Linked DNA regions of Arabidopsis thaliana. The protein of the gene in region 2 interacts with the protein of the main gene of each other region in a pairwise test. Each region holds a gene or a part of one and is shown on either strand. Other genes may lie near its edges.

Region 1 (7,221 bases), on a different chromosome or scaffold from region 2:
ATTGAAAGTGGAAAACATCATCTATTTTAAAAGAATTTTTCGTCTAAAACATCAAATAGATAAAAATGGAGGGGTATATTAAATGTCATTAACTCTCATGTACTAGTAACTTAAAACCAATAAATGAATAAACCAAATTCGATATGATTTTTTCACTCTGTATGATTGATTGTAGCCCTAATTGATTGTGTTCAGTTTGCTTCAAATTTTTGGGAATGATTCGTTTCCTTTAAATATGTACTATGTTTGTCATAAAAAACTTACGAAAACGATAGTTGAATAGTACGTACGACAAACAATACTCAAAAGAAGATATAAAACACTGTTTGGAATGCGGACACTCATCCATAGAATTCCTATGTTTAGATTTGGGAGTTTTGTTTTGCACAAAAAATAAAAAGAAAGTTTTGGGAGTTTTGTATGATATAATATATATTTAATAACCCAAGATTTTGAAATCTTTTCAAAAACAAAACTCCTGAAAGTGTAAGATTTTCTTGTAACCCCAAGTCAAAAGTCAAAGATATTTTTCTTAACTTAATCAATCGAATAACAACGGTGGATTGCGAATTATATTGAACTAAAGAAGAAGGTGTTTAATTAGAGTCAACAATTGACTAAGAAAAACAAATTTGGGTAACATTTCATCAACAACACCAAGCTAAAACTTGACTTTTGTCGTCCAAAAACTATGTATATTAATATTAGTATGCAGTAAGAACCTCCCAGACTCTCAAGTATACGCATAATTATCTTTCCGCAGCCAAGACAATGGCTTATCCTTGCGTCAAAAGAAACGTATTTTCACTTCTTCCTCTACTCCTTCTTCTATCAATCACCCCTTTGTCTTCATCTTTGTCTCCGAGTGACAAAGTCACAAAAACCTTCTTATCCCGACTCTGCACAGAACCGCACATTGACACCAACTTCTGCATCACTTGGCTAATCTCTGATCCAACAACATATACCCTCGACCTACAAGGTCTTCTCGATTTAGTCTTCCAAAAGACGCAATTATTGGGCAATAAGAACCTAGCGGCGATGAAAGGCTCAGTGAATACCACGACTGATCCGACGCTCAAGATCCCATTTGAGACTTGCGTGAGAGATTATGAAGGAGCCATTAAAGCGATCGAGGAAGCTCAAGGGTTTGTGACCTCTAAGGCGTACCCGTTAGCATCTCAAGGGGCTGCTAAAGCCTTCATTAGTATATCAGTGTGTGAAGCTCAGTTTGCAGGAAATGTGCCGGCTTATGTAGCAAAACTCAATTTGTTTTTTAAGAGAATGTGTAATATTGATAGGGTTTTCTCCGACGTTTTGACTTCTTGATTCTTTATGTATCTTTCACCTGCAAGAAGGCAGAAACTACTAAATGTCATTCACGCTGATGTACTAGTAACTTAAAGACCAATAAATGAATATATTCATAGTCAAAATTACCGTGTCTTGCATCTCAGCTAAGACTTTAATCTCTCGTTACTTCTGGTGTATATTTATGACAATTATCTCCATAGAACCTCTTCCTACAGTAATCTTTCTTAGCACCAACAAATCATGAACACATATTAGTGAATGCATATCTACCTAAAGAAGAGAAGTCAGGAAAGTAAGTTAGACGAATACTAATCAGATAACTGTCTCTGCACTAATGCTAAGAATAGCAAAGTTTTCTCTCTCTCTTACATAAGGACTTGTGGTCTAACTAAGAATCAGAAAGAGTAACAACCCATTTCTATTATTAGTTCTAGTGGAAGCAATCAATCGCATGCATCTATAAATATGAATAGTCAGGCATAGTAAGGGAATAACTTAACCATCATCTACCAACGAACATAAGAAAGAAAGAAGCAAAGATGGCAGCATACCTGACGAACAGAGTTTTAATGTCTTCTCTGATGTTTTTTGTAATGACTGGTTCTTTGAACGCACAAGTGGCAGACATAAAAGCGATATGTGGAAAAGCGAAAAACCAATCCTTCTGTACGAGCTACATGAAATCCAACCCAAAGACCTCAGGTGCTGATCTTCAAACGCTTGCAAATATCACATTTGGTTCTGCACAAACAAGTGCATCAGAAGGTTTCAGGAAAATTCAATCTCTAGTCAAGACAGCAACCAACCCCACTATGAAGAAAGCATACACCTCATGTGTACAACATTATAAGAGTGCAATAAGCAGTCTCAATGATGCTAAGCAGAGCCTGGCGTCAGGCGATGGCAAAGGGTTGAACATTAAGGTTTCAGCAGCTATGGAAGGACCTTCAACATGTGAACAAGACATGGCGGATTTCAAAGTTGATCCTTCAGCTGTGAAGAACAGTGGTGATTTTCAGAATATTTGTGGCATTGTACTTGTCATCTCAAACATGATGTGAGAGTGGGATTGATTCAATCTCCCTTCATCATACTCATTAGACGATTACATTAAACAGTAATGCATAAATGTTACATATATAATCAAAGAACTTTTTTTCTCCAACCCACACATCAACAAGAACCTGGTTTCTTTTCAACTTGTTATTCCATATAACTCAACTCTATTGATAAAAGAAACTAAGAGACAACAACTAGTAATAGACTTATAACAAAGAGGAGTCTGAAATCAAACACTCTTAATAAACTCATGATCTTTTTACAGATCAAGTATAATACAACAGAAGGAAACAAACAAACAAACAAAAAAGAGAGAAATTCACAGAGAAACATGAGAACAATGCAGGAAAACTCAAAAGGAATATACTTTATTCAACATACAAGATGCATACCCGAGAAAAAGATCAATGATGAAAATGCTGCTACAAGATAATTAGAGAGAGACAGAGGTAGGCTTGTAGTCAATAACCAAAACTTTATCCAAGCTGCCAAGGAAGATGGTGGCGAATTCAACGTGAGCAGGATGAGCAATGTACTCTGCAACAGCTTCTTTACTCTCAAATGTGGATTCAAAGATGTGTGTGTAACCTTGATGCAGATTCTCAATGCTCACATCTTTTCCCCTAAAATTATACAGATCCAATAATTCAATAAGACAAGAGCAGATTCGTCGATTTAGTTGATTTAACTTTTCAAAAGATCATCAATGGAGATGGATTCTCTCTGAGGGAAATTAGATCAACACTAGGAAGGTCATGAATTTCCCCAAATTGCTTAGTTTTACATAATCATATTGAGTTGATGGAAGTGTTTTTCGGATCTCGAGCATATGTCTAACACTAGGAAGCAATTCAGAATCCAAATTTACTAACCAGTGGAAAGCTTTCATAGGTTCGATGAGATTGACGAGATTGGCGTAACCTTTGATGAGCTCTTCGATTTTCTCAGGACTAACCCCATCTTTGAAACTAGCAAGCAATACGTGCTTCACAGGTCCCTTTGCTTCCTCCATTTTTGATCCTTATCCCCTGCGAATGCAAATCTCCACTATTCCACTTATCAGCTCTCTAAAGTCTTAACTAAAAATGGACGGTCGAGATCTTTGATTAAAAGAGCGGATTTGCGACGTGCAAATACGATCGTCGGATTATTGTTTTCGTTCCAAAAAATTAAATAAAACGTCCTCAGATATAAACATTACCAGATGCTCCTGGTATACTCTGTATTGAATCTTCTTCTTTTTTTTTTCTTTTCTGTGCAAATTGAATTGAAGCTTTTTTAATTTATAAAGTGTTTGTAACAATTATGTTTACTTGATTAATCATGATAAGTGCGACAAAAAATGTATATAGAGATATTCTTACCACGGTGATAATAGAGTTGGACTGTCCAGCCGCACTTAACGCCGTTTTGCAGCCGTCCAAATAGCCTTTCTATAGAAATTGGTTAACACAAATCCATGAGATTGTTAGTGCATTTGAATCTTGTACATTCCGTCATATTGCCACAAACGCAAATCTGATCGCGCGTTCCATTTCTTGGGAGTGTGATTCAAGACAGAAGGTTTCAGTCTAAGTTTTACTTAGCACTTGGAGAGCCTTCATGACTTCACAATCAAGTGTCTAAGGAAAGTAAAGTTTAAATTTCATTTTGTATTTCTCGTTATTTTTCTGTCATTTTGTTTCTGTTTTAATAATTATCATATGACAAAAAAAAAAAAAAAAGGATATTCTTACCACTAAGTCACTAAAATGCATCTTTTTATAGAAGATATATGGTATGATGCAAATAAGTATCAAAATAATCATCTATGTTCTGTGTAACATGCATTAATTAAGCAAAATAATTTACAGCATTTAAGTTCCTCTTGAGACCAGTCTTATTTACCATTTCTTTTATTGAATTTTTAACCCAAGACTAACTCTCAGGAGCTTCCAAATAAAGACTTCCCTGTAATCACTTTTTTTTTTTTGTCACACTTTTTGAAAGCGAATACCCGAGAGCTGCAAATGAAACCCATTAGTCAAGTAATCTCTACTACATGTTCTCCTTCTAGATCCGTCTCTTAGATGCTTAGAGCCAACAAGCCTGCCTCAGTCTACAGGTTACCCGGTTTATACCATAACGAGGAATGCTAGAAAAAAGGGTGTCAATTTGGGGCCATTGAAGTCTGTGTTTAAGGCAGGAAGCTATTCCATCAGCTCAGATCAAAACCCGCTTCTGCGCTTATGGCGTACATCAATTTGGTCTCAAGTAGCTCTTTGCTGCATCATTAACAACAAGACATGCTTTATTTGCTTTTTCCAATTACAACACCAAGAGAAGCTATTTGGCAACAAAACAAGTCTCTTAGCTAAGCAAAACCAAAGAGTTTGTGTTATGAGAGGACAAACCTTTGATAGGGCGGAAGCTTAAGAAGATTCATACAAGTGGCTGATGTCGGTAGTCTATCAACTGATTCATTACTCGCACTACCGGCAGCCCTGATACACATTCCATCGAGGATGGATATTTTATGATTCTATTGTCCAGGGCCCATCAAAAGTCAAAACGATTGTGAGTCTGTGTATATTACCTCTGTATGCAGAATGCAGGTTCCAAGTATTTGAAACCCAGCAGTGGTCCTCGTGAGCAGCCTGTCACAAACCTGAAATTGAAAAATAGAGGTACCTCTTAGTTCCCTTAGAAAATTCATAGACTCCGGTAAATCATTGCGTACACAGACTGTAGTAGTAACTGCAAAGTTTGCTTACTTTAAGAACTTCTTCTGGTTTTCAGTTGAGAAGCTTTTCATAACTTCCCAGAACATATCGATCACATAATGTCCCTGTCAAGTGTCAACAACATAGCGATATAATCATATATAACAATACTCCAAAAGTGTCCCTACACTAATTCACAATGGCATTTCGGCTAACAGTGAAGAACCACTCACCGCGTGGTAGCCTCCAGCATAATTAGTGTTGTTTCGCAAGTCGTCTATATCCAAACTATCAACTGAACCAGATATGAGAACCTGCAACCAAAGCCCACAAAGGTAAAATTTCTCTCTTCATGCTCCTCGAGGGAACAACTAACAAAGCAAGTATAATTATACACTTAATTGGCACCTGAAGCTCATGTTCATTGAACATGTCGATCCATTCTTTCGGAATGAGTTGCTGAAACCCCCTCAAGAAATGAGAACTCTGCTGGCGTATCTGCAAATGAGATGATATCAATAGCTGTTGATTTACAGGGTGACCTCAGGTATGCCAAGATAAATGAGAGGTAAGTGGTTCCCCAGTACCTGAAAATTTAACCGATGATTGGAAACCAGATGAATGAAAGTTATAACATTCTCATTTGTAACTCGCATGTCTTGGCCCCCTGGAAGTAGCTCTTCCTCTGTCCTCTCTCCATATTCATTATTCAAAATAACAAAGTAAAGCTCCAAGTCTGAGATATCACCCTTATAACGCTGCAAATATCATAATGAATACATAAAAAGGTGTATAAAGCTAAGAAGCAAAAAAAAAAAAAAAAAAAAGAGCCAAAATTATCGTAGGTAGGTAAACAAACAAATTTCAGTTTCGAAACAAAAACAAACAAACAGATTTCAGCATTCTCGCACATCTATGCTAGCAACTATCTCCCCGTTCTACAAAGCAACAATTAAATAGAATGTTCAGCAAAACTCACCTTCAGAAATATAAGGTGCCTATACAACTCAGGATCCAGAGAAGGCAAATCGTTCAAATAGTTGTACCTAGCCAAAGAACAATAGAAGTTTCACAACATGTTCAAAAAGTCTATGCGGGCTTAAAAAACGAATGAAGTGACAGGAAATTGAGGTAGAAATTAAATTTACATACTTTTGTTTCAGTTTGCTGAGGAAAAACGTTGCAAATGGTATATCAACAAGAATCCCTTCAAACATAGCCTGCAACAAGATAACGGGAAAAAACAATTATGAGTCTTATATAACAGATGAAAAGCAACTTTAAATAACGACAAAAGGACAAATTCAATAATTTTTCTAGGAAAACATCAAGTTATACGCCTACTAATTCTATTTGCATGAAAAACATTGCGAGTAGTGTATTAAAAATCAAATGTGGCGTACACTGTAAGCATTATAGTTTGCTTTCTGTCCTATATATAAAAGTTTTCAGGAGTAAAAAATGGTAAATTATAAGAGTTCCGCATCAAGGCCACCAATCAAATACCATACTTTTGCGAGGAGACTGCCGAGAAAATGAAAGAACTGGAGATGCTGTTCATGTATCATTCCTGATCCAGGATTAGGATAAAGCATGTGATCAGCGGTCTCCTGAAAGAAAGCATGTACAATATTCAGAGAAAGATAGACGTACTAAATGCAAAGATGATGGAGTAAGGTAAATTATCAAATCCACAAAAACTTGGGTGAGCAAAACTAGACATATGACCTTAAACAACCCGTATTGCACATCAAAGGCTGCTCGGGTAATTTTCTCCATGAAGTCTTTGAAAATGCCACCACCATCAATACCAGCTTCCTCAACTCCGAGTTCATTCACAAATGTCACACGAATCTACAGCCAGTAGTTATTTGCATCACAAGCATCGCAAAAGATAAACAAATCAGAGAGACACAGGGACGAAATATGGATCTGTTTCAGTAGTGAGCCAAGCAATTGCTAGAAGACCAATATCGGGCAAGAACTTACCGAGCTCCGTAGATCATCCTCTGATAACGCACTCATTTGATTGTAAGCATCTTCCAAGATATGATCTCTTCGTATTCTGAACCGATTTCGAGCAAAAATTCCTTGCGATCCATGACTCTGCCTTGCCGTTGCTAATTGTGTCTACGAAAGATGACCA
Region 2 (8,083 bases):
ATGCTTTATTTTGAATCAGAACAAGAGATAGGAATTATTGTATCTAGCAGCACCGTAGAAGGAAATTTTTTGACTCAACTCAACAAATCAGATCCAACAATTCAAGCATTGTAGAGAAGAAATTGATATGCAAAATAAAGTTAAAAGCATTCAAAAGGAGAATCTACAATAAGCAAAAACTAAACTTTAACAATTTTCAAAAACTCAGATCCGGTTTCGTAAGAGTAAAAGGATACACAGAGAATACGTTAACGTAAACATGACCCAAATGTTAGGTGAAGCAACCAATTCAGAGATCATATACTCATGATCATGCTTAACAATCCGAAATTCAACGAAAAATATACACATACTGCAAGAAATTCAAATCAAAATCTCAGATCTGGTACATGCAACAGAACCCGGTTCAGGAATTGGGAATAACGTAAAATGAGAAATGAAATTACGTGAATTTTCTACGGATCACCGACACAGATCGAGCCTGAATGCAGAAAATTGTTAACTCTCAATATAATCACAGAAGAAGGTTAATAAACACACAAACATTCAAAAACCAAATCTATATGAAAATTAAACCAACCAAAGTAGATCCAAATCGAAACAGGAGATAAAGCCCGAGATCGGATCGCGATTAAACACAAAACTGGATCGTGACACGGATTAAGAAAGAGAGAAGCTAGAATTTGATGATACCTTAAGGTGCGAGCTAGGTAGGCTCTGGTTCTAGCACTGATCGAAGAAAATGGAGGTGAAATCGCTAAATCTGACGATGGAGAAGAATAGCGGGGTGAGTATGGAGTTTATATAGGTCATGAGATTCCTAAATTGCCCTTGAAACCGTCAAAGATATTAAAGTGTTTTTGGTTACTTATTTATTATTATTGCTTAATTAAATTAAACAAAACACTTTCAGTTAAAAATTAAATGATGTACAGGTAGAAAAAACGATGGGCTCAAAATATTTGGCAGGTTTTTGTTTAAAAGTCTTAGTATTTATTAGTATTGCTTAATTAAATTTAACAAAACACTATCAGTTAAAAATTGAATGACATAGGTAGAAAAAACGATGGGCTCACAATATTTGGCAGGTTTTTGTAAAAAGTCTTCAAGACACGTTAAACATTTGACATATTTCCATTGATTGGATTTCGACCAACTTAAATACACTTTATCGTATTTGCCAAAAAAACATGAAAAATGTTTGTATCAGTCAACAAAATAAACTGTAAATTATATATAAATATATATTTCTTTTATGGATTGTTACTATTTTGTATATTAAAACATATTCAAATTTTATATTGGAAACTAAATAAATTCATTTATTGCCTGTCTATTGTTTACTTTCATTGAAGAAAATATAACTGACTTACCAATCTCCACAATATAAAAAAAGGAAGTACCTTTTTAATTGTTTTTTTGGACAATTTGTATCTCTTTAGCGTTTTTTCCCCAACCTTTACACTTAATCACTTATATTATGGATTCATATTTTTCTGACTTTTTCCACTTATTAAATTTTCTCTTGAGGTAATTGATGCTTCAAAACAAAAATAGCTATGTATATATTATTTGTTCACCTACTAAACAATATTATATATATATATAGACATATTTCTTACCAGCAAAATATATTATTTAATTTGAGAAATATTAACAAGGAATATACATTATTGGTTTGAATCCTTTTCTGTGCGTCAATGTCCATTCATAGTAATAATATACTTCCCAAAGTTTGGTGTTTAGTTTCAATAATGTACATGTTAATCTATTATTATAAAACCATTTTGTATATATGAGTACTTAAGTGATTGTGTGGTGAGGTCTGCAGGACAAACTTCAGACAAAAGACTAACTGCACTTTGCTTAAAAACTCAGTCACACTTTTTGAAGTGCTTCTCAAGCTATATTTGCATAATTATATAAATAACTAATAAAAAGAAGAGTGCGGTTGAAATTTTAATATTAAAGCTATATATAGTTTTAGAAAAATATAAATCGAAACCAAATATATTGAAAAAGAATTCAAATATAACATGGTTCAATATTTTTTTGATTCGTATACAAGTTTGCCATGTTACTTTAACTGTGACCATAAAACCTCAAAATCATGATTTTTGTAGATTCAGTAATTATTTTACTAATTTACATTCGAATTAGAATGCGTCATACGACACCTTCCACTTTCTAGCAACGTATACTCTTGTCAATCATGTAGTCTTTTTATGCACATCATATCACGTAGAGTAAATATTAGAAGCAAATAATAAACAGATATTTCATGTAAATAGGTTTACCCCGAGTAGAGATTTTACACATTATAGAATAAAAATACAAAAGCAACAATAAAATAACAAGAGGAAATTAAGATTACCTAATCACATACCGATTAGGCGCAACACCTCTAGCTTGATCCAACGTAGTGAAACCTTCCCAAACCAATCCACTCTTGGGTCCACGTTGCTTGGTTCTCTTAGACTGCACCCATTCCCAAAACCAAACTACCAATCCCCAAATTATAAGAACCACGATCGCACCCACACCTGCGATCGTGTACGCTCTTGCGTTCGGCTTGATCACATCCCCTGCAACAGAGTAAGCCAAGACCATAGGAACGAACAGAGGGTAATACCAAAACATACTCTCTTGTCCTAAACTCAACAAACGTATCATCATCTCAATCGCAAAGCAGAACCCCGCACTGTTCCACAACCATAACCAGATAAAGTAGACCTCGTCCATAACCACTGAACCCGCTTTCGGACCGCTTGTTCCACTCTTTTGACCACCGCCATCAGACACGCCTCCGGGAGGTTGGAGAACCGTCTGATATGTAGCTGTGACGATGAGAGTTGCGACCACTAAAAGAGCGTTTCTTCTCTCTTCAGAGATCCAAGAATAAAACCGAATCTTCTTCGTCCGTCTCGATTCTCTCCAAGAAAGCTGCGACGCGAGTATATCCGATGTTGTCTTAATCTTGACAAGAGAAACCGAACGTTTTCCACCATGTCTCTTAACCATTCTCTCTATCTCTCTGTTATTGTGTAACACAGCAATGTCGAACACGGTTAAACCGTTCTTGTTCTCAATGTTGACGTTAATCTTGGAGCTCTCTAACAACAATTTCATAGCTTGACGATTGATCTCGTACGCCGCGAGATGTAAAGGCGTGTTACCGTCTTTGTCTCTTCGGTTTATGACTCTTGTCTCGATCCACTCTGCATCTTTTTGACACAATCTTAAGATCCATCCCATGAGAACTTTAAGAACGCTTAATCCTTCTCTTTGGTCGTAGTTATTCACGGCGATGTGAAGAGCGTTTTCTCCGTTCACATTTGCGTCCACAATGCTTTCGGGACAACCCAAGAAGAATTCTGACATCAGATCAATCTTCTTTCTACTTACCGCAACTAGCAATGGCGTCATACCTTTTTTGGACAAGAAAAATGAATTAAACACTCCTGGTATAACCAATCTAGTTCATGATCTGACCATACAATATCGACATAATGACTAGTCAAAAGCAACAATAGACTGAATTCAAACTAGTATTCAATGGACTGTTCGTCCTACTTCAATACTATCTCCAAGATTTGAATTTACTAGATACATATTATAACATTAGTTCGGATTGATTAGAGCTAAAGCTTTTGGAAAAAACTAAGAAACATAATTAAGGGTTCAACAAAATAAGTGAGTGTACGTACCATGTCTCCCTTTAATACGAACAAGACTTGGATCAACCTTAACTACTTCAAGTACTAACCAGAAGTGACCGTGTTCCACGGCGAGGTGTAACGGTGTAAGTCCGTCGGCGTTAAGTTTCCGAGCAAAAGATGGTTTCAAGTTCATCATTTCCATGGCAAACTCTGTTTTTCCATTGACGGCTGCCACATGGAGAGGAGTATTAACGAAGGGCACGTGGTCGGTTTTATCAAGAACGTATGGATCTTCATGGATTAGTTCGTATAGTAGATCGATGTTTCCAGATTTAGCAGCAGCTTCTAATGATCTTTGGTCCATTAGTGACTCAAGAGAACAGAACGACGATGCGAATTATATTTTTGGTGATTAAATATGATGATGAAACTTAATTGGCTACGAAATGATAACTCGTTTGTGAATGAAGGAAGTTCCCAAAAAAAGGAAAAGAGTGGGAAATTATAGGTGACGTGGCAGTATACGTGGACACGTCAGTATCTGATCATTTAATCCAACGGTTGATATTAGATAAATAAGAATTATTGTCTGAAAATTTGATGTGACATGGAGTACAACGTGGATCATATCGGCTCCAGCATCTATTTGATCTAATGGCTAAGATTGTACAAAATAACTCGCTGCTAAAGTGTTGAAATTCGGATGTGACGTGGCATTAAACGTGGATTAAAATCATCATAATCATTAATTTGACAATCTAACGGACAAGATTAGGAAAATAATTATTTATTACTAATCTAAGTTTATTTATTAAAAAAGCACCAAAAAGACTAGCCGTTATTAGAGAGCGTCCAAAGAGCGCCGCAACGGTCACATTTTTCCCCCAAATCTATCTTCTTATTCGATTTACAATACTCCATAGCAAGAACAAACCCTAATTCTTCACCTCCGATCAATTTTTTTTTTGTTGGAGAGATTCTCAAATCTAGATCGATTACTGTTCGTGTTACTCTCTTGATTCCAGATTCTGTTATCTTCGATGGAGTCGTTGACATTGAAGAATGGGAAAGCAGGGACTCCGGTGAAGGATCGGAGCAAGTTTCAGTCCAATCAAAAGATTTCCAGATCATCGGAGAATGCAAACCCTAACATTTCACAAGCGAGTCCTTCTAAATCACCGCTCATGAAATCTGCGAAGAAATCAGCGCAGAAGAATCCGAGTCCGAGCCCTAAACCTACCCAGGCGGTTTTCTCTCCCCGGAATCGGATCAGAGAGAGGAAGTTTGTTGTGGTGGCGAAGAAGAATTCGAGGAAAGGGAAGAAGGAGCCAGCGATTACAGAATCCAAGGCAGCTGAGATAGATTGTAAATGCGGAGAGAGGAAGAAGGGGAACATGAAGTGTGTTTGTGTTGCATATGAAACTCTGCGTGCTTCGCAAGAGGAGTTCTTCAAAAATCGAATTGAATCAGAGGAGGATAAGGAAGCTTTGGAGGAATGCTGTAATCTCGGAAATGGCGATGAACTAGAAGGAAAAGAATCTGGAGAACCGGAGAAAACAGGCGTTTCCACAATGAAGAGATCAAGAGCTAAGGTGGTGGAAGAAGCACGGCAAAGTGTGCCTGTATCTGGTAAAGTGATGAATCTTGTAGAAGCATTTGAGAAACTCACTTGCTTTAGTAATTCAAAGACTGCCAACAAGATAGAAGAGAATCAAACCGAAGAGGATACGAAGAAACCTGTGAAATTGGAATTCTTGGAGGGTGAGAAAGAGAAAAACCCATGGAGTTCTTCGTTTTGTCCATCTGAAATGGTCTTAACAGCTAAGAATCTGGGTTTAGACCCCAATGCTTCGATTTCTTCGTCCTGGGACAGCACCCGTGGCAGGTTAGTTTGTTGTTGACTAAGAGATCTCACTGAAATTATGAACTTGTCTTGTTCTGAATAGTTTGATATTGTGATGTTTCAGTGTTTTGAGTGGAAGTTCAAATGCTGGCAGGAGAAGTAGAAGAAATGTAAGTGTCCTGCATGCAGCATCTGAATTTTCTTAGCTGTTTAATGGTTGTCTGTCTTGCTTAGTATGTCAGTATAGTTTAATAATCATTTTGATATTTCTGTTTATGGCAGAGCATGGAGTCATCGACTACAATGGGAAGTAGAAGATCAAAGAAGAAGCAGGTTAAGGTCACTTCATTGAAGCCGTTTAAGCTTAGAACTGAGGTATGAGTTTCTTTAGATTAAAACTAAAGAAAAATTTCGAATTTTATGGTGGAAATTGAGTCATGACAGTTGGTTGGTCTTTTGTCTCTCTGCAGCAAAGAGGTAAAGTGAAAGAGGAAGAGTTAGCAAAAAAGATACACGAAATAACAATGGAGGAAGAAAAGATGAGAATCCCCATTGCTCAAGGTCTTCCATGGACAACCGATGAACCTGAGGTAAGCATGTTCTGCTTTCCTATTAACATCTCAATTGATCTTGTAAGCTCTAGTAGTAACAATAGTGAGAGATGATGTCTTGTTGACTATGAAAAGTTCTAATGTTGTTTTCTGTTTCAGTGCCTAGTGAAGCCTCATTGGAAAGACATTACAAGACCAGTCGACTTGACGCTCCACTCAGATGTCCGGGCAGTTGAACGCGCAGAATTTGATTACCAGGTAACCTTGCTAATGCAATGATTAAATCTACATTTTGTTGGGCTTGAAGTTCAAGATACCTTAAAACATAGCCGCTGACATGATTTGGCTTCAGTAACCATTTCATTCTGTCAAATCATTTAGAGTATACTTGTTTTCTTATCAGCTGGTTGTGTTAAGACTTGAGACGGAAAGGAAAATAGCTGATAGTGTCAAATAGTGTGTATTGTAGTCTGTAGCCAAGGTTGACTTGTCTATAGTAACTTTGCATTGTTCCATAAATTTCTTCATGTTAAAGTCTGAATTTTTGTTGTTCTAGGTTGCCGAGAAGATGAGCTTCATTGAGCAATACAAAATGGAAAGAGAAAGACAACAGAAGGTAAACTTTAATATGAGATGTTGTGGCCATATCCGATAATAGAGTTTTGCTTTAACTGATTTTGATAAATCCAATATTGTTTTTAGTTGGCAGAGGAAGAAGAGATAAGAAGGCTGAGGAAAGAATTGGTCCCAAAAGCACAACCAATGCCATACTTTGATCGACCATTCATTCCAAGAAGGTAAAAGACTGGTACATAAATACTATCCTCTTGAATCTTTCTTATTATGAGAGCATGATAGGTAATATAGATATTGTTTTCAAGTGAGAAATATGTTTTCAATATAGTTTTCACAGACCAACTAATAGAGTAAACTTTCTTATAACAATGAACGTCATTGCAAAAGCTGACACAGTTGCTTCTTGTTGTTTTCTTTTACCATTAAAAGGTCGAGCAAACATCCAACTGCACCACGAGATCCCAAGTTTCACATACCGCAACACAAGAAGATCAGATGCTGCAGTTCATCTTCTTGGAGTGAAACTGGCTCCTGCATGAGCGATTTCCAATATCAGTTTCTCTAGAAAGCTTCTTTTGGATTTACTACTATATCATCCTTGTTCATATTCTCATTTTCAAAACTACATTACCTTTCTGTAACCAATTAGTTGCAGTTTCATAGATTTGACAATCATTCTTGTTTCACCTTTGTAATAATAATCTGGTCTTCACCCAAGAAAATGAGAAAGATTCCATATTGTTTGCAAAATCTGGTTTGATCTGGTTCAGAAAGATATAATACTTATCCTCCAGTTTGAATTTGGATTTAACTGACTTATCTTATGATTCAATCCGTGTTCCACCTCTCATACATTTGTTTGCAGAATCCGGTGTACATTGGTTTAGTTCTGGTCAAGAAACATATGTGAGTTTTAAATCATCTTCCAATTTAAATTTGTATATGACTGACATACCAGAAGAGTTTTCATAGAGAAGAGTAAATTGTTTCTTGAGATTTCTATGAAGAAGAGTAAACTTGGGATACAAAATCACTGTAAAGAACAAAACTTTAATAGCTTCATCAAATATCAAATTAGTTCGTCAAAATGAACAGAGCAGAAGAGAGTAGAGATCTAAAATCACAAAAGCTAAAAAGATCTATAACATTCTTGAGGCTCCTCCAAAGCAAGCATAAGGAGAACAACAGCTCTTCATGATTCAGCTGCAATACGCCCAGCAACCTGATCCAAATCCCGTTGACCGCTCGAAGTGATTCTTCTCCCTCTGAGACAAAGAATGAACAAAGGAGGAGAGATGAAAGTAAGTCACTAACAAGGTCTTCCTACGAAAAGTGCCTTTAGAAAGAAATAAGAATTACCCTTTAGTGTCAAGCTCGACAATGCTCATTGTCTCCAACTGTTGGAGAATATGGCGAGCAATACCACCACTGCTCTTACAGAAATGTGGTGGTCG

Evidence for each region. Proteins that work in one complex are often made in the same cells at the same time.
Region 1: the proteins of AT5G15500 (region 2) and HS1 interact in a protein complementation assay, tested with the Arabidopsis thaliana proteins (one large-scale study listed by BioGRID).

The regions. Positions count from the first base shown.
Region 1 is NC_003074.8:5,878,482-5,885,702, reverse strand, and holds HS1 (heat stable protein 1), read right to left. Parts: upstream 3,785-7,221; 5' UTR 3,738-3,784; intron 3,639-3,737; exon of another isoform or gene 3,627-3,638; 5' UTR 3,386-3,626; coding exon 3,246-3,385; intron 2,997-3,245; coding exon 2,807-2,996; 3' UTR 2,503-2,806; downstream 1-2,502. Other genes in the region: AT3G17225 (Plant invertase/pectin methylesterase inhibitor superfamily protein), read left to right, coding at 772-1,329; PMEI2 (pectin methylesterase inhibitor 2), read left to right, coding at 1,854-2,375; UPL6 (ubiquitin protein ligase 6), read right to left, coding at 4,571-4,637, 4,767-4,856, 4,949-5,020, 5,127-5,200, 5,309-5,389, 5,484-5,573, 5,663-5,833, 6,055-6,121 and 4 more.
Region 2 is NC_003076.8:5,029,421-5,037,503, forward strand, and holds AT5G15500 (Ankyrin repeat family protein), read right to left. Parts: upstream 4,121-8,083; 5' UTR 4,024-4,120; coding exon 3,708-4,023; exon of another isoform or gene 3,429-3,707; coding exon 2,371-3,428; 3' UTR 2,228-2,370; downstream 1-2,227. Other genes in the region: AT5G15510 (TPX2 (targeting protein for Xklp2) protein family), read left to right, coding at 4,700-5,544, 5,627-5,672, 5,785-5,877, 5,973-6,092, 6,213-6,311, 6,610-6,669, 6,756-6,850, 6,967-7,168; AT5G15520 (Ribosomal protein S19e family protein), read right to left, coding at 7,822-7,894, 7,989-8,083.